Linked DNA regions of Callithrix jacchus. The protein of the gene in region 1 purifies or fractionates together with the protein of each later gene. This does not show direct contact. Links are inferred from orthologs where the notes say so. Each region holds a gene or a part of one and is shown on either strand. Other genes may lie near its edges.

Evidence for each region.
Region 2: the proteins of SYTL4 (region 1) and RAB3A purify together in Homo sapiens (affinity purification with mass spectrometry; 3 studies listed by BioGRID and IntAct, counting the BioPlex papers as one, with this or other methods). This does not show direct contact. The link is inferred for Callithrix jacchus from reciprocal best matches to the Homo sapiens genes SYTL4 and RAB3A.

The regions. Positions count from the first base shown.
Region 1 is NC_133524.1:96,991,362-97,002,811, forward strand, and holds part of SYTL4 (synaptotagmin-like protein 4), read right to left. Parts: intron 7,758-11,450; coding exon 7,656-7,757; intron 7,187-7,655; coding exon 7,111-7,186; intron 6,718-7,110; coding exon 6,627-6,717; intron 6,512-6,626; coding exon 6,423-6,511; intron 5,570-6,422; coding exon 5,465-5,569; intron 4,364-5,464; coding exon 4,185-4,363; intron 3,899-4,184; coding exon 3,796-3,898; intron 3,265-3,795; coding exon 3,103-3,264; intron 2,116-3,102; coding exon of another isoform or gene 1,885-2,115; exon of another isoform or gene 1,756-1,884; intron 1-1,755. UniProt on the Homo sapiens protein: Modulates exocytosis of dense-core granules and secretion of hormones in the pancreas and the pituitary. Interacts with vesicles containing negatively charged phospholipids in a Ca(2+)-independent manner.
Region 2 is NC_133523.1:16,906,943-16,918,899, reverse strand, and holds RAB3A (ras-related protein Rab-3A), read left to right. Parts: upstream 1-3,996; 5' UTR 3,997-4,215; intron 4,216-5,281; coding exon 5,282-5,509; intron 5,510-7,494; coding exon 7,495-7,613; intron 7,614-8,947; coding exon 8,948-9,072; intron 9,073-10,098; coding exon 10,099-10,289; 3' UTR 10,290-10,952; downstream 10,953-11,957. Other genes in the region: MPV17L2 (mpv17-like protein 2), read right to left, coding at 11,659-11,715, 11,849-11,957. UniProt on the Homo sapiens protein: The small GTPases Rab are key regulators of intracellular membrane trafficking, from the formation of transport vesicles to their fusion with membranes.

The DNA.
Region 1 (11,450 bases):
CTATTTTTGTTCATCCAAGTATGTCCAACACTTAGCAAAGTACCTGGCACAGGTGCTCCATAAATATTTACTGAATGAATGAATGAATGAATGGGATGAGTAGCAGGTGGCCTATTGTCTTTGGCTTTGGTTGGCAGAGCTGCTTCACTCTAATTGGCTCTCTCTGAATGACTTTGTTCCTTATGCTTCAATATCTAGAGCATGAGCTGGTGCAGACTAGAGATGCCCTTTTACCTGCTTGTATATATATATATTTTTTTGAGACAGTGTTTTACTCCCACAGCCCAGGCAGGCTGGAATGCAATGGCGCGATCTCAGCTCACTGTAACCTGAGTCCAAACTCAAGTGATTCTCCAGTGTCAGCCTTCCGAGCAGCTGGGACTATAGGCACACACCACCGCACCCAGCTAATTTTTGTAGAGATGGGGTTTCACCACGTTGCCCAGGCTGGTCCTGAACTCCTGAGCTCAAGCAATCCACCCACCTCAGCCTCCTAAAGTGCTGGGATTACAGGCATGAGCCACCACGCCTGGCCTTGCCTGTGTTAATTGGCTAACCTAGGTCCTCACCAATGCTGGGAAGCCAATAATCCATAGGTCTGGATCAATGTACCATACTCAGAAGATATAGTTTAATATATGTGAGAGACACAAAAGAATCAGGAGATTGATCCAGGCAAGGGAAAACTGCATGGGAGCAAATGGATCGCTAGGGGAAAAATGAAAAGAAAACCATAAATGACAAATGTAGAAATTAAAATCAATACATAATATGGGGATGGCTTTTTTGGTTGTTTATAAAATGTCTACACAATTTATTCATTTCTAGAAAATGTTTTAGAAAATTTCTGTGAGTTTCAGTGGACTCTCATTGGAGTTTAGCATTAGCTAAAAACTGGTATATTTGTTTCAGTAGCACATTTTTATTCTGGCTCCAAATATTTGCAAAGAGCAAATATCACCATGTTAATGTGGTTTCTTCTCTTTATATAAAGCAGTTTTATTCGCAGTAGTTCATGATGGTTTACAGCAACATTTCCAATGTAATTATATTGACTGTAGAGAATGACTTGGGTGCCAAATGGTTAAGAAATTCTAAATTTGTAATAATATGTTATAGTTTGGTAATAATTTCTTTCCTGTCTTTTTATTGATATATAATACTAGCATGTATTTATGGGGTACACGTGATATTTTGTTATAGCCATCACTTTGAACATTTATCAATTCTTTGCATTGGAAACATTTCAAATCTTCTAGCTATTTTGAAATACACATATTTTTGTTGACTATCATCATCTTACTGTGCTATTGAATGCATTCCTGTTTTTATTAGTATTTAAAGGGAAAATTTAATGTTGTCACTATTTTTTTTGCAAGGGCAACAGATATCAAAATATTAGATGTATATTTCCCTTCACTCAGCAATTCCACCAACAGGAATTTCTCTGACAGTTACATTCACAAAAGAAGACCAAAATATATTATAGAATAGTTTTAAGAGCAAAAAGGAATTCACACAATTTAAATGTCTATTAGTGGGGGAATGGTAAACAAATTGTAATACAGGCACATGAAAAAATACCATGCAGCGACAATTAAAATGAGATAGATCTCTAAGTGATGGCACAAAAGGATGTCCATGATATATTGTTAAACGAAAAAAAAAGAGATGTGTACAATGAGGTTCATGTGAGACCGTTTGTGTAAAAAATATATATATATATATATATATATATATATAAATACACGGATGCATATCTGGGCTGCTTAATACAAAATGTCTTTCTTTTTTTCTTTTTCTTTTTCTTTTTTTTTTTGAGACAGAGTTTTGCTCTGTTGCCCAAGCTGGAGTGCAATGGCGCAATCTTGGCTCAGTGCAACCTCAACCTCCCGGTTCAAGCGATTCTCCTGCCTCAGCCTCCCAAGTAGCAGGGATTACAGGCATGTGCCACCACGCCCAGCTATTTTTTGTGTGTGTATTTAGTACAGATGGGGTTTCACCATGTTGGTCAGGCTGGTCTCGAACTCCCGACCTCAGGTGATCCACCTGCCTCCGCCTCCCAAAGTGCTGGGATTTCAGGCATGAGCCACTGCACCCGGCCATACAAAATTTCTAGAAAGATACACAAGTAGCTGTTAACAGTGATTATTTCTAGGGAATGGAACCTACTTTCCATTTAATATACTTTACATTATTTTAATTTTGAACCTTGTGTATATAAGTCCATTTTGGCTTAATTTTCTTAACATGGTTAAAAGTTCAAATGCTTAAAAGGGGGATATAGAGACAACTAAATATTCCTTCTACCTCAGTCTCCATTCCTAGAGGCAGCCACCATGACTAGTTTCTCATCTAACTTCCCAAAGATAGTTTATGGACCATGTATTGTTTTAAACATTTAAAATGCTAGTGTAAAAAAAACTAAAGATGAACTTTGTCATATCATTGTATAGTTCTGATAATCGAGAAGTTGCTAAATAAGTCCCCTGTTTTAGCAATTTCATCTTAACCAGATGATTTCTCTACCCTATTTTATAAGGTAAGTGACTCATCTATAGTTGGCAAGTGACAGAACCAGGATTCCAATACAGGTCTGCACTCAGATCCCAGGCGTGATTATGCCATATTGCTACACTCTGGCCCGAATTGCCATCTCCAAAGTTATATTTTCCCTGGCCTCTGTGACCAAGAGTATAGCAATTGGAGCTCCATGAACTGCTTTACTTCCCCCTTGGAAGTAAAGCGGTAGCTTGGCAAAAGGGTGCAGATTAGGATATACACAGAAGGTTAGCTTGGAGAAGAGGTGTGAGTTAGGATGTTAGGATACACCCAGATTCTGGAAGGTTAGGAGGCAAAGCTTAGGACACATATGAACATTATTTCAAAGCAAAACCATGGCTTCATACTTTGCCTGATTTACACAGCACGCTGGATGTACAAATGCCTCTGAAATTGCTGTCAAACTCAGAAACACCAGCAGGGGACACTAGAACTCCAGAGAAGACTACATTCAAAGACACTACCAACATAGACCAGCAGAGGCTACTGCAGACAATTCTACCTCAAATCCAAACTGCATGAGTTATTAAAGCAGACTACCTTTCCATGTAAAGGGAGGCAATGATCCAGTTTCTTATCAAGCTTCCAGGAATCCATCTGGATCTCTGCCTCTCCAAGGAAAGTGTTTCTGCCAAAACGGCCGTGATGCCAAACTGAGAACTGCAGGGTCCTCCGGGCCAGGAGAGATTCTGGGATCTCATACTGGGAAGGGAAAGTAGAAGCCCAAGATGATTATTAGTTTAGGATAATTCCTCAGACAAGAATATTCCAAAACCTGAGCAACCATTCCTGAAGTCACTAGTCCTGAATACCAAATTCCTTTATATTCCCTAAGCACTTTGAGTTTCCTCACTCAAAGCCTCAACTTACCTCATTTTATAAAAAACCTACCATATTCCATAGGAAGATCTGGAAAATTAGATTTTCCTTGAGTAGGTGAGAGAATACTGAGTCGTCCAAAAACAACTGACAAGGAGATTCCTTATCTCAAATGTCTTTTTAAAATGAGATTTGTGGCCATGTGAATCTCCAACTTCACAACAATCCAGGAAAGGCGGAGCACCTTTGTTCTCTTCACTGGGAAATCAGGATGTGAACAGGTACCCAATGTATCCTCACACACAGACATGGCCCACTGAAACTCATGTCACCTGGCCATGTTGCAGAGGAATAGTTACAGCCTCGGGCACAAGACAAAACAGGTTCTTCTACCCTTGGGGTCTAGATACTTACCCTGAGGGTCTCATCATATAGTGGATTAATGGTATCCCGCTTGATACTAGTTTTTCTTTTTCCTTGGCGGGATTTGTCAGGCAGAAGGTAAGTCTTCACATACCTAGAAACCAAAGAGTATACTGAGTAATTTGCTGGCCTTTCTCAAGCCTGCTCTTCACTTTCCTGCTCTCCATATGAATATGGCATGGTGATATGTGATGTCAAAAATGTCACCTCAAGCCCTCTTAGACATGCCATTCTTGCTTTTTCCCCAATCCTGGTTCCTTTCCTACATCACACCTCCCTGCTCCCAAGGAAAGGGATAAGCTCTGTTCAAGAGTGCCCAGACAGATGCTGGGGTCTGTTCTCCAGTCTCAGAGCATCAGTCAGGTTCCAGAAGCACTCACGGGTTAGAGCGCTTCTTGGCTTCATCAGCATAGGCCAGCTGGTGGCACTCCTTCACATGGACGACGAGACTCTGTGTTTGCTGTTCATACTTCAGGGAAAAGGCAATCCTGCCAGTCACAGAGACGTTCCCGAAGTCACCAGCTTCACTGTAGATGCTCATCATGCTGCCGATTGTACTCTGAAGAAAAAGCACTCACGAACATCTGGGGAAGGCACACTCCACCCCCGCCACATTGTTCATATCTTCCCTCATGATAAAGCCACAGTCACTGAACAGAAGATTCAGAAGCCCCTGCAATGATCCAGTGCTGCCCACACTCCTTGACCCAGAGGGTAAAAGAGAACTACCAGGACTCATAACTGTTCAGGTGAATAAATCAGTTCATGGCTCACCTAGCCTCTTAGCTTCTCTTCTTCTCCTGGTTGTACAAATTTTAGTGTTCATTTTCATCTGCCCCAGGAGGCGGGCAGGGAGCAGAGGCAAGGTGCACGTAAGTCCATTTGGGAACTGTGTTATATACACTAAAACATCGGCTAGAATGGTGTTAGTCACTAACTAAAACAAGGTGGGTTTCTCTTATCCACCTTATGTCTATCAGGACCTATAGAGAAAAGAGATTCAGCCAGAATTGGGAGTGAGTGGGAAGGAGGAAACCCGACCAGAAGTGAAAAGGCACCTTCCTTTCTGGTAGTAATTGGTCTTGTGAGCTGACCTTCTCTTCCTGTGAATGTGAACAAACTCTGTTTACTCTTGTTCTTGACTCTTTCCCTAAATATCAATCTCCATGCTTATAACAGAACCAGGCCCTGATTCATAAATGTTCCCTTAACTTCATTATCCTTACTGGTGTTGTTGATTGTTAGCCATACCCTGATGTTGACTAACCCTGCCAGGGCCCCTCTCATGACACTCACTTTCCTTTAATGTTGGGAATTTAGAGTGCGCTATGATGAAGAAATCTGATCTTGCTCACTTCACAGCCTGGGTACCTCTTTAAAGGATAAGTTGAGGTTATTGCTCACAAAGCTGTGATGAAGAATGTCCCCAGCCTTAATTATCTATATGTAATAATCTCCAGGATGGGGACTCAGGAAGTCACCTAGATGTACACTAAGCATCTATAGTCTAAATTGAGGATAGGAACAAACAAACGCATCTTACTTACCTGAAAAGAGTGACTAGGATGGTTTCCCCAGGTCCCGAGTCTGCTCTAGGGAGGTGCTTCTTTTCTTCCTAGCACCCCAATATGCCTATACCCACAGATCTAATAGAACTTACCATGGAGGAGCCACTTTGCATGCTGCTTCTGGCTAACTTCTGGCGATGTAACTTCACTAAGTAGTCAATGTCTTCTTCTTCTTCTTCTTCTTCTTCTTCCTCTTCCTAGAACAATATAGATTCAGAATTAATAAAAGAAATACCTTTCTTTAGCTTCAAAGACTAACACCTTTCCTTTAGTGGGAGCCATAATTGTCATAAAGCTCCGAGTTGTATGTATATGCACATATTCTTCTTTTTATATGTCTTCCCATTTCAGGCTTCCCAGCTCTATTCCAACCATCCTTCTCATATCTCAAAGAATAAGATAAGAATATTTAATGTTTTTCATAAAAGCTATAACTCTTTTCCATTAGACTTTCCCCAACCCAGCTATCTCTTTATATTTTAACCAAGAGAAGTATTTATTTGATCCCCAGTCATATATCCAGCAATTTATTAGAAAATAAAAGAGATGGCCAGGCATGGTGGCTCATGCCTGTAATTCCAACACTTTGGGAGGCAGAAGAGTGTAGATTACTTGAGCTCAGGAATTCCAGACTAGGCTGGGCAATATAGTGAGACACCCATCTCTCCCAAAAAAAAAAAAAATGAATGAAAGAAATTAGCCAGGTATGATGATTCATGCCTAAAGTCCCAGCTACTCAGGAGGCTGAGGTGAGAGGACAGCTCGAGCCCAGGAGTTCAAGGTGGCACTGAGCTATAATTGTGCCATTACACTCCAGCCTGGGCAACAGAGTGAGACACTGTGAAAGAGAAAGAAAGAAAAGAGATAGCAAAGACAGTCCTTTCCTTTAAGCAAATCAGGAACCAGATTTACTTCAGAAATTTGGGGTATCAAGTTTCATGTTGCCTTTTCCTAAAGAATTAAATAGGTTGATTGAGAATCTCAGGTACTAAAGCCAAATCTAGATAAATAAAATTTCATATAGTGACAGTAAAATACAAGGGCACTTACCATATCTACATTGAGGCCTGGGACAGATTTGCTTCTGTCTCCCAAGGGGCCACTTTCTGGGCGAAGATCTATCACAGACTTGGTGTACTCTGAGGAGAAAACCAAAAAGCCAAATCAGAAGAAACCTATTCTTCTCCTTACCAAGAGCCCATCAAGGGTACTCAGAACTTTAGTCCCAAAAGACCAGTAAGGGAAACCAGTTACCTGACGGCCTGAGGATTTTCCTGGTATTCTTCTTAAATATCATCTCACCCTCATCCACAAATACCACATTTTGACATCCAGGCTGAGTTTCCTAGAAAGGAACAAGGGCACGAAAATGGAAAAGGACAGATGGACAGGTAGAAGGAGTAAGGAAGGATAGCCTTAAGAAGAATGAGGCTCAGATTTTCCCGAAACTATGACAAACTTAAAGGAAAGATTATGTGCCTAGGAATAGTACAAAACCTATTTTCTCACACATTTCAACCAAAACCTTAGAAAATGCTCCCAAGTGACTCTGAACTGAAATTTGTTTAGTTAAATTCCTGATTCAAATTCTGCCTAAGAGAATGGAGGGAGGGAGGGAAGAAAGAGGAAGAGAAGAATGAAGGGGAGGGAGGAAGGGAAAGATGGAGGGAGACAGGGAGGTAAAGGAGGAAGGGAAGGAAGGGAGGGAAGGAAGGTGGCTCAGTAACCTGCAGCTTACCTTTTCTACTTGAGATTTGGGAACAGACATCTTCTTCCATTCTGGAAAGAGGCCAGATTTTTCCAGAGAGTCTCTCCTGGAGATAGATTCACAAGTTATAACTAAGTCACCTCCTCCCCTTCCCCTTGCACCCAGAGATCAAAGCTCTATGGAAGGAAAGCCAGTGCCTTGGGTCATGGTAATAACCAAATTCAGAAGGTATACTTCACATCTGATTTACCTGGAAGGAATGCAGAAGATCAGATAAGCAACTTTGCACAAACACAAACACTCAGATCCCTCATTCTTAAAGGACAGCAGCATCAGTTGCTACAGGGCTAAGAAGAATACTCCAAGGTACTGGGGGAATTGACTGGGGAAGCCAATATGATCCAGGAAGCTGTGCTCAGAGCCAAATCAGTACACGTGCTACGGAAAAGACTTCTGGTGAGGTCAGAGGAAATACTCCATTCAACTTCCTGAGGACAGAAGTCAGGAACACTGATGCTGCAGAACAAAATCGCAACTTGGGTAGTGTGGAGATGAGAGAAATGAGGAAACCTCACCTGGAGGTGCTATCTGAGTCAGCTGTGAAGCTATCCAGACTCTCACTCTCAGTTTCCAATGCACTCTTTCCACTTTTCAGCTTTGGCACTTCAAATAGCACACTACAATAAAAACCAAGAGCCAATATTGAAAGGAAGCAGGTTCTACCTCTAGTCAGGCCTCTTTCCAATCCGTTCACAATTGTAGCCTGAGCGATTTTTCTAAAATAAACATGGGTGTACTTTAAACATATAATAATTTTAATTAAGAAATAGGGTCTCGCAATGTTGCCCAGGCTGGAGTGCTGTGGCTATTCACAGGTGCCATCATAGTGCACTATAGTCTCTAATTCCTAGGCTCAAGTGATCCTCCTGCCTCAGCCTTCTGAGTAGCTGGGAGTACAGGCATGCACCATGGTGCCCAGCTGAGAATACTTCTTTTTTTTGAGATGAAGTTTCACTCTTATTGCCCAGGCTGGAGTGCAGTGGCGCCATCTCAGCTCACTGCAACCTCTGCCTCCCAGGTTTAAGCAATTGTCCTGCCTCAGCCTCCCAAGTAGCTGAGATTACAGGCATGCACCACCACACCCTGCTAATTTTTTGTATTTTTAGTAGAGATGGAGTTTCACCATGTTCCAGGCTGGTCTTGAACTCCTGACCTCAGGTGATCCACTTGCCCTGGCCTCCCAAAGTACTGGGATTACAGGCGTGAGCCACTGTACCCAGCCTCAGTATACTTTTAAAACTCTTGAGCAGTTTTCCATTGCTTTTGGGATTTAGCTGAAACTCCTTAGCATGGCAAGAATATCCACATGATTTGGCCCCTGCCACCCTTCTCCACTCTCATCTTTCACCCCCACTCCTCCTCAAACTTTATATTTCAGAAAGATGAAGCTATTTTGGTTCTCTGAATATCCTGAAGCTCTCCATCTTCCCTCTTTTATCTGCCTAGGATGTTCTTTTCACAATGGCCACTTTTCTTCACCTGGCTAAATCTACTCCTTCTTCAGATCTCTCCTTATATGTCAATTCCTCCATGTCTCTCAGGCCACGCCCCTACCCTAAATCTGGATTAGTAAGCTTCCTCTGTGCTCCCATAGCATCCTGATTTCTTACCAACAGTCACCACATATGTAACTATTTGTTTATGTCTTTTAAACAAATTATTTATTTTGTTCAATAATTTAAACAAATTAATGTCTTTCTCCTCCATTCGGCAAAGTTCCATAAGACCAGTGACCACATATCTTATTTACCAATGTGTTCCCAATGCCTTGAAGAGAGACTAGCATAGAGTGTGTACCCAAGTATTTTTATTGACTGAATTCTTGAATAAATGCCCTCAGTGGGGCTGAGATACAACCATAAATAAGCAGTATGTCTAGAAGACAGTATTCAAGTGACCAGAAATCTTTTTTAGCTTAATTGCCTTCATGAAGGATGACTCTGGGAATTCAAAACAGCAGTTCTCATCTTTCAAGGAAAGGACACCATTCCTGGGGCCCCTTACCTCAAAGAATTAGTGAGAGAAGTAGGAAAAGGGGGGAAAAAATCCATTCTTCCTTGAATATCTCAAATAACTTCCCCTGGCTCCCAGGACACCACACTCTCCTGGTTTCCTCTTCCAACCTCCCTGGCTGCTGCTTCTCAGTCTCCTTTGCTCGTCCCTACTCCTCCTGTAGACCTCTAATATTTTAATGGTGTCCAAACTTCTTCCTCGGGCTGTTCCTCCTCTCTATTTAGAATTATCCCTAAATGATCTCATCTATTCTCATGGCTTTAAATATCCTCAATAAGTTAAAAACTCAATTTTATTTATTTTTACTTATTTTTTATATTTTTTAAGATGGAGTCTCTGTCACCCAGGCTGGAGTGCAGTGGTACAGTCTCGGCTCACTGCAGCCTCCATCTCCTGAATTCAAGTGATTCTCCTGCCTCAGCCTTTTGAGTAGCTGGGATTACAGGCTTGTGCCACCACACCTAGCCAATTTTTGAATTTTTAGTAGAGACAGGGTTTCACCATGTTGGCCAGGCTGGTCTTGAACTCCTGACCTTAGGTGATCCACCCGCCTCAGCCTCCCAAAGTGCTGGAATTATAGGCGTGGGCCACCGTGCCCAGCCTCAAATTTTCTCGTACTCAAACTCCAGACTTGTTTTTCCAATGGCCTACTCAATGTCTCCACTTGGATGTCTCAAACACAGCAAACCCAAAACCAGAGCCCTAACCCTCCTCCAAAGCTGCTCTTTGCTCTGTCTCATCAAATGGCAAATTTCTCCTTTCATTTCTCAAGTCAAAAACGTTAAGAATCATCTGTTACTCTTTTTCTCACATTACAAATAAAATCTGTTGGCAAATCACCTTCAATGTATACCTAGACTCTGATCCAGTCTCCCTGCCTCCATTGCCATTACTCTGGTCCAAACCACCATCATCAAGCTCCTGGATGGTTGTAGTAGCCTCCTAACTAATCCTGCTTCTTCCCTTGTCCCTATACAATCTATCCAGAACACAACAGCCAGAATGAGCTTTTAAAATATAAATCAGACATAGAACTATTATATGACCCAGCAATTCCACTCCTTGGTACCTACACAACAGAACTGAACAATAAATGTCCACACAAAAACGTTACGTGAATGTTCATAGCAGCATTATTCATAATAGCCAAAAGGTGGAAACATCCTAAATGTCCATCAATGCATGACTAGACAAACAAAATGTGGCATATTCATATAACCAATTATTCATCAATATAAGAAAATGAAATCTAGATACATGCTACAACATGGATGAACTTTGAAATCATTATGCTACTTGAAAGAAGCCAGCCACAAAAGGCCACATACTGCATGACTGAATTTATAGGCAATGTCTAGATTAGGCAAATCCATCAAGACAGAAAGCAGATTAGGGGTTGGGGTAAATAGAGGTGATTACTTAATGGCTATGGGGTTTCTATTTGGGGTGGTGAAAATGTTCTAAAATTAGATCGTGGTGATGATTGCACAATGTTCTCAAAGTACTAACAACCACAGAATTTTATATTTTTAAATGGTTAAGATGATGATTTTACGTTATATAAATTTTACCTCCATTTTTCATAAGAAGACAATATAAAGCTGTGTCCCTCAGAGCCATCTTTCTTACTTGGAGTAAAAGACAGAATGCTTACAAGTGCCACCAAAGTCTTAACATGATCTGCTTCTCACCTCATCTCTGTCCTCATCTCCTTCTAAGGCCTCCCTTTCTCACTCAGTTTCATATCACTCAAAGGTGCCAAACTAAAACTAAGATACCCTAAGGGTTTGCTCCTTCATTTGATTCATGTCTTTGCTCAAATGTTACCTCATTATTAAGACTTGCCCCGGCTATCCTAATGAAAATAGTATATGTACACACATTCATTCCTGGCATTCCCTATACCTTTGGTCTACTTCATTTTCTCCATAGCACTTGTCAACATCTGATATACCATACATTTACTTGATTATCTGTTTATCTCCACCCTCCAAATCTAAGCCCCAGAAACAACGGGCCTTTTTGTATTCAGCAGTGTATCCCAGGGCCTAAAACAATGCCTGGCAAATAGTAGGCATTCATAGATATTTGTCAATCAAACAAACTAATAGATGAACAAAGAATGAGGTAACCAAAATCCAGTAAAGAATAAACTCTCCAAGTTGTCACATGACGTTTGTGACAGTTCTGTGAAAATAGACAGCAGGGTTGAAATCTAGGACTTGCAAGAGGTGAAATGTTGGTCATTCCTTGAAAGATGTATTAGCTGTATAGTACAAGACATAGCAGGGGGCTTG
Region 2 (11,957 bases), on another chromosome or scaffold:
GCTGGAGTGCAATGGTGCAATCTTGGCTCACTGTAACCTCCACCTCCCGGGTTAAAGAGATTCTCCTGCCTCAGCCTCCCGAGTAGCTGTGATTACAGGTGCCTGCCACCATGCCCGGCTAATTTTTGTGTTTTTAGGAGAGTTGGGGTTTTGCCGTGTTGGTAATGCCAGTCTCGAAATCCTGACCTTGTGATCCATCCACCTCGGCCTCCCAAAGTGCTGGGATTACAGGTGTGAGCCTCCACACCTGGTCTCTTTTCTTTCCTTTTCTTTTTTCTTTCTTTTTTTGTCAGAGTCTCACTCTGTTGCCGAGGCTGGAGTGCAGTGGTGTGATCTCAGCTCACTGCAACCTCCTCCTCCCTGGTTCAAGTGATTCTTCTGCCTCAGCCTCCCGAGTAGCTGGGACTTCAGGTGTGTACCACCACATACCGCTAGGATTTCACCATGTTGCCTAGGCTGGTCACGAATTCCTGGCCTCAAGTGATCCACCCGCCTCGGCCTCCCAAAGTGCTGGGATTACAGGCATGAGCCACTGCACCCAGCCCTAGAATATTCATATTTTTTATAAATGAATATTCGTATGTTCCCCTTCAATTTCAGCCACAGGCTTTTGCCCCTCTCCCCTCACTGACTGCACCTGCTCTGGCCACACTGCAAGCCTGGTCCTACCACAGGCCTTCAGACAAGCCGTGCCCCCTACCTGGAATGCTTCTCTCTCAGCCCCCAGCCTCGCTCGTGGGGTTTTAAGTTAGTGTCTTCTTCCCTGAGAAGTCATCCCTGGGCCCCTATCTGGGATACTTTTTTTTTTTTTTTTGAGATGGAGTTTCCCTCTTGTTGCCCAGGCTGGAGTGCAATGGTACAATCTCTGCTCACCACAACCTCCGCCTCCCAGGTTCAAGCGATTCTCCTGCCTCAGCCTTCCGAGTAGCTGGGATTACAGGCATAAACCACCACGCCCAGCTAATTTTATATTTTTAGTAGACACACGATTTCTTCATGTTGGTCAGGCTGGTCTCGAACTCCCGACCTCAGGTGGTCTGCCTGCCTCAGCCTCCCAAAGTGTTGGGATTACAGGCGTGAGCCACCACCCATGCCTGACCTTTGTGTGTGTGTGTGTGCATGTGTGTGACAGTGTTTCCCTCTGTCACCCAGGCTGGAGATCAGTGGAGGCACAATCTCATCACACTGCAGCCTCCGCCTCTCTGGTTCTTTTGATTCTTATGCCTGAGCCTCCCCAGCAGCCTCCCTGGGCAGGCACCACCACACCTGGCTAATTTTTGTATTTTTAGTAGAGATGGGGTTTCGCCATGTTGGCCAGGCTGGTCTTGAACTCCTGACCTGAAGATCAAGGAGTGATCCTCCTGCCTCAGCCTCCCAAAGTGCTGGGATTACAGGTGTGAGCCCCTGCACCTGGCCAAATTTTTACTTTTATTTGTGTGGTGCAGAAGATCGGGTGTGGCCTCAGGGAGGGCTCTGGACTTTCCTGTGGGTGGGGCCAGCAAGGAAGCACAGCCCCTTCTTCTCCCACGGCTCTGTCTCCCGGCCACACAGAAAATGCCCCAAGCCCACAGCCCCTCCCCTAGCTCATCCATTTCTAATTCCAGAGCCCAATGCTGCTCTGGACAATCAAGGGCTTGCATTCTTCTTTAATTTAAATTAAGTATTTTTTTCTGTTATTTTTTTTTTTTTTGAGACGTAGTCTTGCTCTGGTGACATGGCGCGATCTTGGCTCACTGCAACCTCCACCTCCTGGGTTCAAGCGATTCTCCTTAGCCTCCCGCGTAGCTGGCATTACAGGCGACTGCCACCATGTCCGGCTAATTTTTGTATTTTTAGTAGAAACGGGGTTTCACCATGTTGGCCAGGCTGGTCTCGAACTCCTAACCTCAGGTGATCCAACCGCCTTGGCCTCCCAAAGTGCTGGAATTACAGGCGTGAGCCACGGCGCCCGGCCAAGTAATTAGTTTTGAGACAGGGTCTCACTCTGATGTCCAGGCTGGAGTGCAGTGGCGCCATACGGTTTCCTACAGCCTCGACCTCCTGGGCTCAAGTGATCCTCCTGCCTCAGGCTGGGGAGTCGCTGGAACCACAGGCACGCACCACCACACCCAGCTTTTAAATTTTTTTGTAGAGATGGGGCCTCCCTATGTTACCCAGGCTGGTCTCCAATTCCTGGGCTCAGGCGATCCTCCCGCTTTGGTCCCCCAAAATGGTGGGAGTACAGGCGTTAGCCGCCGTACGCGGCTATTTTTACTTTAAAATACTAAGTCAGTGACAGAAGCTTCTGCACGTTCTCGTGGCTGACTTTTCCCTTCCTGGGGAAAAAAAAGGCAGGAGGTATTTCTGAGAGCGCCACCCATGTAGGAAGCGTGCCTTTGGGCGATCAGGGAGCTGAGCAGCCTAAAACCTCCTCCCCTCCAAGGGGGCCGCAAGCCGGGCCTGGACCCTCTCCCCTGAAGCCCCCCACAGAGAGCGAACTGGACTGCCGGTGTCCGCGTGGGCGCGAGGGCGGGGAGAATGGGAGGTGGATTTCTTTTTGTTTTATTTTTTGTTTTTCGGAACGTTCCCAATTTCTCCGCAGTGGATTCGTGATACTTTTATAGTCCTAGTGGTGGAGGTGGGGGGTGGGGAAGGGAGCAAATATGTTACCCTAAAAAGAAAACAAAAATTTCCCAAATGCAAATGGAGAGGGGACGGGGCGGGCGGGGGGGGCGTCCCAGTACTTCCAGGGTGCTGGGGGCGGGCTGGGGACAGGGTTGGCGGCGGCTGGGCCTCGAGGCGCTAAGTTATTCTGGTCTCTCGGCGCCTCCGCAGCTGGCGAGCTTTTTATAAACAGGAACGAGTTTCCCCCCCCACCCCAACTCCAGCCCCGCCTACTGTGCGGGGGGAGGGGGAGGATCTAGGGGATCAGGACTCTTCTGGCGACCACACACGCCTGGAGGGTTTGAAAACTGGAGTAGGGGGCGCAGGAGCCCCGGAACGGGGGCTGGGTTTGGGGCTCCTCTCCCCTCCCCACATTCTGAGTTTTTTCCCTGAAGATTTGGAGGAATACACGGTGGAGCATCTTAGCTCCCCAAAGGCCCCATTCTCTCAGGTTTCCTTTCCCAGAATGGAGGGCGGGGCTCTTTCAGCCCCCGGGTCTTTGGACCTGAGCATTGAAGGGCTGGAGGGTTCCCGGAGCATTTACCGCAGGCTTCAAGGGGTTTTCTGCACAGGTCGCTGCTCCTTCCCTACTAAACCTTTTCTTTGAATTTTCCTCTTGATGACGGGGCGCAAGGAGGGGAGGGGGTTCCCAGAGAGTCCACCCGCTCCTTCCTCCTTTTCTGGGAATGGTGGAGAGGAGTGGCTCTCTCGACCTCTATTTCTTCTTTCTATTTTTTAAACCTCAGAAAAGGGGGAGGGGTGGAGTCTTCACTAGCCCCGCCCTCTTTGGGGGTCTCACGCCTCGGGAATGGGACAGGGGCCCCTCTTGATCCCTGGTTATTCTTGTGTATTTATTTTGAACCCCATATATGTGAGGGCGTAAAACATCTCTTGGGCCTCGGTTGTTCTTTTCTGCAATTGGGAGTCGGGGGCATTTAACAGAGGTCACAGCACCTTGGACTAGACTATGGCCTCGAGTCCCCTACCTGGGGTGGGCGCGGGCAGGGAAGGGAACCGCCCCTCGAAGACCCGGGCTCAGCCAAGGCCTCAGCCTCTCGGCCCTTCAATCGCCCAGAAGCCACCATTGGACAGGAGGGGGGAGTATGTAATCGCTGATTGGCTAGTCGGCCCGTCGCTCGAGGGCTTAAGCCTCCCCGAGGCGGAGTCGGCCCCCGCCCCGCTCCCACCCCTAGTGAATACACACGCTAGGCCCGCCCCACTTGCGCGTCAATCTTCGCAGGAGCCCCGCCCCATCTGGCTCTGCGTGCGTCAATGGGCCACATCTCAGCGCGCGGCTCCGCCTCCGGATAGCGTCACGAATTTAACTGCATGTGAGGCCCCGCCCCTCCCTTTGCAGGACGTCACTGAGGACTGCAGGGGCCTGAGCCGCTGCCGCCGCCGCGCAGCCCCACATCAACGCACAGGGGGCCCCGTCACTGCCACCGTCAGAAAAGTCTCCGCCGCTAGGGTCGCCGTTGCATCGGTGCAGTGCAAGGTGAGCTCCTGGGCGGCCGAGTGTGCTTCGGCTCTGAGCACCTGCATAACCTTCATTTGACTGACGGGCTGGTGGAGGTGCGGGACGAGGTTGGCCGGGGTTGAATGGGGGGAAGGATGCCGCGGTCGCGAGGCTGAGAGTGGGTAGGGCCCCGGCGCCCCGCTCCTGCCTGATCCTCACCACTACCCCCCAACCCCCCGCTCTGCGGCGGAGGGGGAGGGGAGGCAAGCGCCTTGCGAGAAGCTGTGCGCGCGGGAGGCTCTTGCGTGCGCGTGCGCGTGGTGTGCACACGCGTGTGCGCGCCCGCCTGTGTCAGCGGGTTTGTGTGTACCCTTGCGTGTGCACCTGGATATGCTCGTATGCCCCCACGGGCCTAAGTGTGTGCATGTTGCACGCGTGTGGAGAAAGATGTGTGAACCGCCTGTGCATGAGTGTCTCTGCTTACAAGCACGGGGATCCGTGTCCCTGTGGGTGATGTGCACACGCCTGCATGTGTGGAGGGGCCTGTGCGCACGGGTGGTTTGCACATTTCTATAGGCGAATCGGTGTGCAAGCAGGTGACTGTGTCTTTGTCCTGTGCACCCCAGTGCGTTTACACACTCCTGTATGTACGGATGAGCGTGTTTGAGGCTGCGTGCACGTGAGCGTGTGCATGCCTCGCCTGTATCATATAATGCAGCAGCCTTGGCCGGAGCTCTCTGGCCTGGAGGTTTGGGAGAGAGGTGGCTGCCGATGCGCGTCCTCCAGGGTCCATGCGCGCGTGTGCACGTGCGGCTGCGAGGCCGCGTTCTGAGACCATGAAAGATTGATAGGGGGCGGGGCCAGCCGCAGTCACCCCTTCTGGGCTCAGCCCTGGGTTTAGGGTTACAGCCCCACCTGGAGCACAGGACTCTTGGAAGGCTGGGGTGTTCCCAGTGGGTTCCGCGACCCTCTGAGCCCCTCTTCTGAAACGTTCAGGATTTCAAGGTCACAGGCTGCCCTCTGCTGGGGGCACCACCAATGAATACTGGGGCTCCTGATGGGATAAGTGTGGTCTCCATACACTGGCCCCTTTCTGGAGCTCTCCCCATCCTCTGCCTGGGCTTGGACACATGAGGATGGAGGGTGCCCCCCTCACGGCTCCGCTATACCTGGTATCCCCAGATGGCATCCGCCACAGACTCGCGCTATGGGCAGAAGGAGTCCTCGGATCAGAACTTCGACTACATGTTCAAGATTCTCATCATAGGCAACAGCAGCGTGGGCAAGACATCCTTCCTCTTCCGCTACGCCGACGACTCGTTCACCCCTGCCTTCGTCAGCACCGTGGGCATCGACTTCAAGGTCAAAACCATCTATCGAAATGACAAGAGGATCAAGCTGCAGATCTGGGTGGGTCCCAGCTGGAGGGCTCTCTCGGGCTCCCGTCTTTGGAAAAGCAGCCCCAACCTCATGTGTCTCTTTCCTGGCTGCACTCACTCACTTACACACTGGGCATTTAGCAAGTCCGTGCTGTGTACCAGGGGCAGAAACAGATGGCACCTGTGTTCTCCCATAAGTGCCTAATCCTGGGGCCTCAGTTTCCCTGTCTTCAAGTACTTCCATGTGTGCGGTTTCAGCTGGATCTTGGTCCCCATTCTCTTTTTTTATTCATTTGAGATGGAGTCTCACTCTGCCTCACGAGCTGGGGTGCAGTGGCGTGATCTCGGCTCACTGCAACCTCTGCCGCCCGGGTTCAAGGGTTCTCCTGCCTCAGCCTCCCAAGTAGCTGGGATTACAGGTGCCTGCCACTGTGCCCGGCTAATTTTTGTAGTTTTTAATAGAGATGGGATTTCACCATCTTGGCCAGGCTGGTCTTGAACTCCTGACCTCATGATCCACCTGCCTGGGCCTCCCAAAGTGCTGGGATTACAGGCGTGAGCCACCGAGCCCAGGCAACTTCATCACCATTCTGTTTGTTTTTTGAGACAGGGTGATCTTGCTCTGTCATCCAGGCTGGATTGCTGTCGCATGATCATGGCTCTCCGCAGCCTCTACTTTCTGGGCTCAAGCCATTCTTCCACCTAAGCCTCCCAAGTAGCTGGAATTCCAGGCGTGCACCACCACGCCTGCGAAGTTTTTTCCTTTTATAAGAGACAGGGTATGGCTATGTCTGCCCAGGCTGGTCTTGAACTCCTGGGCTCAAGTGATCCTCCCATCTCAGCTTCTCAGAGTGCTGGGGTTACAGGCATGAGCCATCCCACTTGGCCTTCTTAGTTTTAAGAGACAGAGCCTCACTCTGTTGCCCAGGCTGGATTTGAACTGGGCTCAAGTGATCCTCCTGCCTCAGCTTCCCAAGTAGCTGGGAGAACAGGCGCGTGCCACTGAGTCCGGCTTCCTTTAGTTTTTAAACCTACAGTTCTATTCTCTCCATCTTTGGAAAAGATGGCTTGATTTTTCTTCTTGGTCCTTGTCACCCTCCAATATAGGATACATTTACCTGTTATTTTCTGTTTCTCACACTGGGGTGTCACTTAGCAAGGCAGGGAGTTCTGCCCATTTGTTAACAACTGTGTCCCCAGTGTCTAGTTCAGGGTGTGGCAAAGATCAGCGTCCAGTCCATGTTTGTTTATTATTTTTCGAGACAAGAGTCTCACTCTGTCACCCAGGCTGGAGTGTAATGGTGTGCTCCTGACTCACCGCAACCTCCGCCTCCCGGGTTCAAGTGATTCTCCTGCCTCAGCCTCCTGAGTAGCTGGGATTACAGATGTGCACCACCACGCCCGGCAGGGTTTCACCATGTTGGTCAGACTGGTCTCAAACCCGTGACTTCATGATCCGCCCATCTCAGCCTCCCAAAGTGCTGGGATTACATGCATGAGCCACCACACCTGGCCCCATTTGTTTTTTGAGGCAGGGTTTCACTCTGTTGCCCAGGCTGAACTGCAATGGTGCGATCTCACCTCACTGCAACCTCTGCCTCCCGGGCTCAAGCGACCCTCTTACCTGAGCGTCCTGAGTATTGGGACTACAGCTGTGAGCCACCATGCCGCATTCATTTTTATATTTTTTTGTAGAGAAGGGGTCTCGCTATGTTGCCCAGGCTGATCTGGAACTCCTGGGTTCAAGCCATCTGCCCATCTCAGCTTCCCATAGTACTGGGATTACAGGTGTGAGCCACAGCACCCTGCACAGGACATGTTTGTTGAATGACTCTGTGGGATGATGGAGCACTCATACACTCTGAGCACTATGACCGAGCCTGCTCTTCCTGACACTGTGCTCCTGAGCAAGCTCCTACTTCTCCCAGGGGGCTGAACTGGGTGATATCAGAGCTCATTTCCTCTCTGAGGGCCTGATGTGTGGGTCCTCTCTGATCTCTATCTCTTCCTCTCTAGGACACAGCAGGGCAAGAGCGATACCGGACCATTACCACTGCCTACTACCGGGGCGCGATGGGCTTCATCCTCATGTATGACATCACCAACGAAGAGTCCTTCAATGCTGTGCAGGACTGGTGAGTACACCCCACTCACTGTTTTTTTTTTTTTTGAGAGAGGGTCTTACTCTGTCGCCCAGACTGCAGTCCAGGCTCACTGCAGCCTCGACCTCCTGGGCTCAAGTAATCCTCCTGCCACAGCCTTCCAAGTAGCTGGGACTACAGGCGCACACCACCACACCTGGCTAAGTTTTTCTATATTTAGTTGAGATGGGGTTTTGTTATTTTGCCGAGGCTGGTCTTGAACTCCTTGGCTCAAGTGATCTGCCCGCCTCAGCCTCCCAAAGTGCTGGGATTACAGGCGTGAGCCACTGCTCCTGGCCTTCCACACTCATTCTGGGACCATTGTCTCTGAGACAAAGTTGCTCCCAAAAAAGAAATAGGCCAGGTGTGGTGGCTCATGCTTGTAATCCCAGCGCTTTGGGAGGCTGAGGGGGGCGGATCACAAAGTCACGGGTTCGAGAGCAGCCTGGTCAACATAGTGAAATCCTGTCTCTCCTAAAAGTACAAACAAATAGCTGGGCGTGGTGGTGGGTACCTGCCATTCCCAGCTACTTGGGAGGCTGAGGCAGGAGAAGTGCTTAAAGCCTGGGAGGCAGAGGTTACAGTGAGCAGAGATTGCGCCACTGCACTGCAGCCTAGGCCACAGTGCGAGACTCCGTCTCTAAAAAATAATTAATAAATAAATAAAAGGTAGGGATCAGGGAAGGATTTCAGCTAGAAAAGTAAAACTGTAAACATATAGAAAAAAATAGCTGCAAGTGTAGGGTGGAGACAGAGACTTTAAGGAGAGCTGGTTAGAGGTGGCAAACATTGCAATTTTCTGCTCAGAAGTAAAAACTCTTTGAAAAGAGTTCTGGGCCAGGCACAGCGGCTCACGCCTGTAATCCTAGCACTTTGGGAAGCAAAGATGGACAGATCTTGAGCTCAGGAGTTTGAGACCATCCTGGCCAACATGCTGAAACCCGCCCCTACTAAAAACACAAAAGATTACCCAGGCGTAGTGGCTCATACCTGTAGTCCCAGCTACTTGGGAAGCTGAGGCAGGAGAATCACTTGAACCTGGGAGGCAGAGGTTGCAGTGAGTGGAGATCGTGCCACTGCACTCCAGCCTGGGCAACAAGAGTGAGACTCCATCTCAAAAAACCCCAAACACACAAACAGTAACGGGTCAACTGGGGGCTGGAGTGGGGGGAACGAGGAGCACACAGGGGAAAGGATGGTGGGGAGGATGGAGGGCCGAGCTTCAGGGTCTTCCTCCCTGGGACAAGGACGCAGGCTCCACAGCAGCCCGTCAGGGTGGAGCTGGGATCCTCGACGCTCTAAGCTGTCCCCATTGCTGCCTCCTGCAGGTCCACGCAGATCAAGACCTACTCGTGGGACAATGCCCAGGTGCTGCTGGTAGGAAACAAGTGTGACATGGAGGATGAGCGGGTGGTGTCGTCAGAACGTGGCCGGCAGCTAGCTGACCACCTTGGTGAGTGCCCAGCCGGGCCAGAGACCTGCAAGGCTAGAAAAAGGATACTGAGGTCCAGAGAGGGGAGGGCATGAACCCAAGGTCTTACAGCTAAGTCAGGTAATTCATTCACATGTTCTGCAAACTTGCCTTCATCCAGGAGCCATTTGAGTTGGACCCTGAGGGCTATGTAGGAGTTCGCTGCGCAGAAAGTTAAAGGTTTATTCTGATTCTCACCGTCCAACACTTTGTTGGGTGGTGCTGGGCTTGAGAGGCAGGTAGGGGTACCTCGAGGGACCTCTGGGGTGGAGGGAGGGACCTAGGCAGGAGGAGCCCATGGTGGGAGCCAGGCTTCCTGGAGAGGCGGGCAGTGGGCTCTAGTGCTTGGAAGAAGGGTGTTTTAGGCAGAAGAAACAACTTGGGTAAACGCTTGCGGTGAGAAAGCTCCTGTGTGTTTTGGTAATAGTTTCACATGACTGGAACAGGAGGATCAGCTGGAGGAAGTGTGGCTAATTAGAGAGGGCCTCAACCATGTGCTGAGAGGCCGGGACTCTTTGGAGGGCAATAAGGAGCCACAGAGGGTGTGTGAGCAGGGGGAGGTCACGGCTGGATCTGAGAGTCAGAGGCTTCCAGGCCCAGTGCATGGGGCTGGGCATGTCTTGCCAGGTCCCTAAGGACAGTGAGACACACTTTTAGGAAGGAAGGGCAGGAAGCCAGACGCAGTAGCTCATGCCTGTAATCCCAGTACTTCAGGAGGCTGAGGTGGAGGATCACTTGAGCCCAGGAGGTCAAGACCGCAGCAAGCTATGATCACGCCACCATACTCCATCCTCAGCAACAGAGCAAGGCCCTGTCTCAAAAACAAAGAAACAAAAAAGGAAATGCAGTCGACCCAGTTCAATGTGGCTTCCCTGCAGGACTTGTCAGTACCTTCAATAAGTTGCTTGGCACAAGACTCTCCAGGTGTTCCCTTTGCTGAGAGAGGCATCTCTAGGAGTTGGCGTGGGGCATGGCCAGGGTCCTCATCCTTGCCTTCTCTGACCACAGGGTTCGAGTTCTTCGAGGCAAGCGCCAAGGACAACATTAACGTCAAGCAAACCTTTGAGCGCCTGGTGGACGTCATCTGTGAGAAGATGTCGGAGTCTTTGGACACGGCGGACCCTGCGGTCACAGGCGCCAAGCAGGGCCCGCAGCTCAGTGACCAGCAGGTGCCGCCACACCAGGACTGCGCCTGCTGAGAGCCACCCGGCCCCCTTGCCCCTCTTCCCCACCTCCCCCCACCTCCCCAGGCCTGACCCGGCCCCCACCAGCCATGGGCACAAGACCCCCACTCCCAACTTAGCCCGCCACCCTTATTTATTATTGTAGCTATTTATTTATTGAAGATGTCCCGCAGGGGCCCGGGCTCCCCTGCCCGACCCCAGCCCTGCCCATCCTGTACATATAACCCTTTCCCAGCTCAGCTGTGGTGTGTCGTGGCCTCGTGAACTTACCCCTCCTCCCCGACACCCTCCCTGCCTTTTTTAAATTCACCCCCATCCACAGTTGTTGGTTGTGAAGAGGGGGCCAGATGACACCCTAGAGCAGGCTGATCGGGCGATGGGAGGTGGCCAGGCCTGCCAGCCCCTCGGCTCTGCTGCGGTGGGCCGAGGCCGCTGTTGGGGGGTTCCCCGTGTGGACCATGGGGGTCAGAGTCTAGCCTGCCAGGCTCCTCTCCCCCAAGTTTTTTCTTTTGGTGGGGGGTATGCTGTGGGTATTCACCACCCTGGGACCCCCCTGCCCACTGGACCTGTTCTGACCTCATAAGTGTCAAATGTGCCCCCCAGTTCCTTAGGAGACATCATGAAACACTACATCCATCCAATAAAGCGAATGGACCACGTGTGTCCCTGTGAGCACCAGCCCTGCCCACCCTGGCTCTGGTCATCCATAGCCTTTGCTTTTGTTATTTTTATTTGTAACTATAAATAGAGACAGGGTCTTGCTATGTTGCCCAGGCTGGTCTCAAACCCCTGGCCTCAAGCGATGCTTCCACTTCAGCCTCCCATTTCAGGTGTGAGCCACTGCACCTGGCCAGCAGTTTCAATTACACGACAGAAAGAATTTAATGGATTGTCCACAGCTCACGACCAGGGAAGAAACCCAGAGGCTTCCCGGCCCTGCTTGAAACTTTGGGGCCAACTCCAGGCCTGAGCCTGCTCTGAGGGAACGGGCCACATTGCCCACTTAGTCGCAGGACCTGAGGGAGCTCTGGATTGGCGGCTTGGCCCAGAGCCACCTGGACGGCAGTGTTGTTGGGCTGGTGCTTGGGACTGATTGGCTGGGTGGGCCCTGTGCTGAAGATGGGACATCTTGGTCACAGGTTGCATGAGGCTCCTGCTGAGAAGGGCTAGGGGATGATCATCCATCTTCACAGGTGTGTTCTAGCTGGGCAAACAGTCCCAGAAGTGAGCTTGGAAAGGGCAGCTCAGCCCAGTGCCTGGGAGCTGGAGGGATGCTGGGACGTTGCCCTGGACCCCAACTTGCTGCAGGGACCCATTCCCCTTCTAGCAGAGCGTGTGGTCCACCAGGAGTCAGTCTTGCGTCCGGTCCCAGGGGGCAGACAGCTCAGTCCACTCGGGTGTCCAGGGCCACACAGCCTGGGGGTGTCAGAGGAACTGGGCTCTGTCCACACAAGACAAGGCATCTGGTCAGAAGCCTGGTTCATCCCTCCCGGTCCCTCCTGAGCCCTGTCCTACCCGTCCCTGTATCCCCCCTGAGCAGTCCCCTGGGTACCTGGTATGCCCACCATACTCACCCGGTACTTCAAGTAGGACAGGTATGTGTCCCAGCCCAGCGTCAGGCCATTGATGTAGGTGACTCGGAATTGGGGGGGCACGAAGAGGAAGTTCACCAACTGCGCAGCA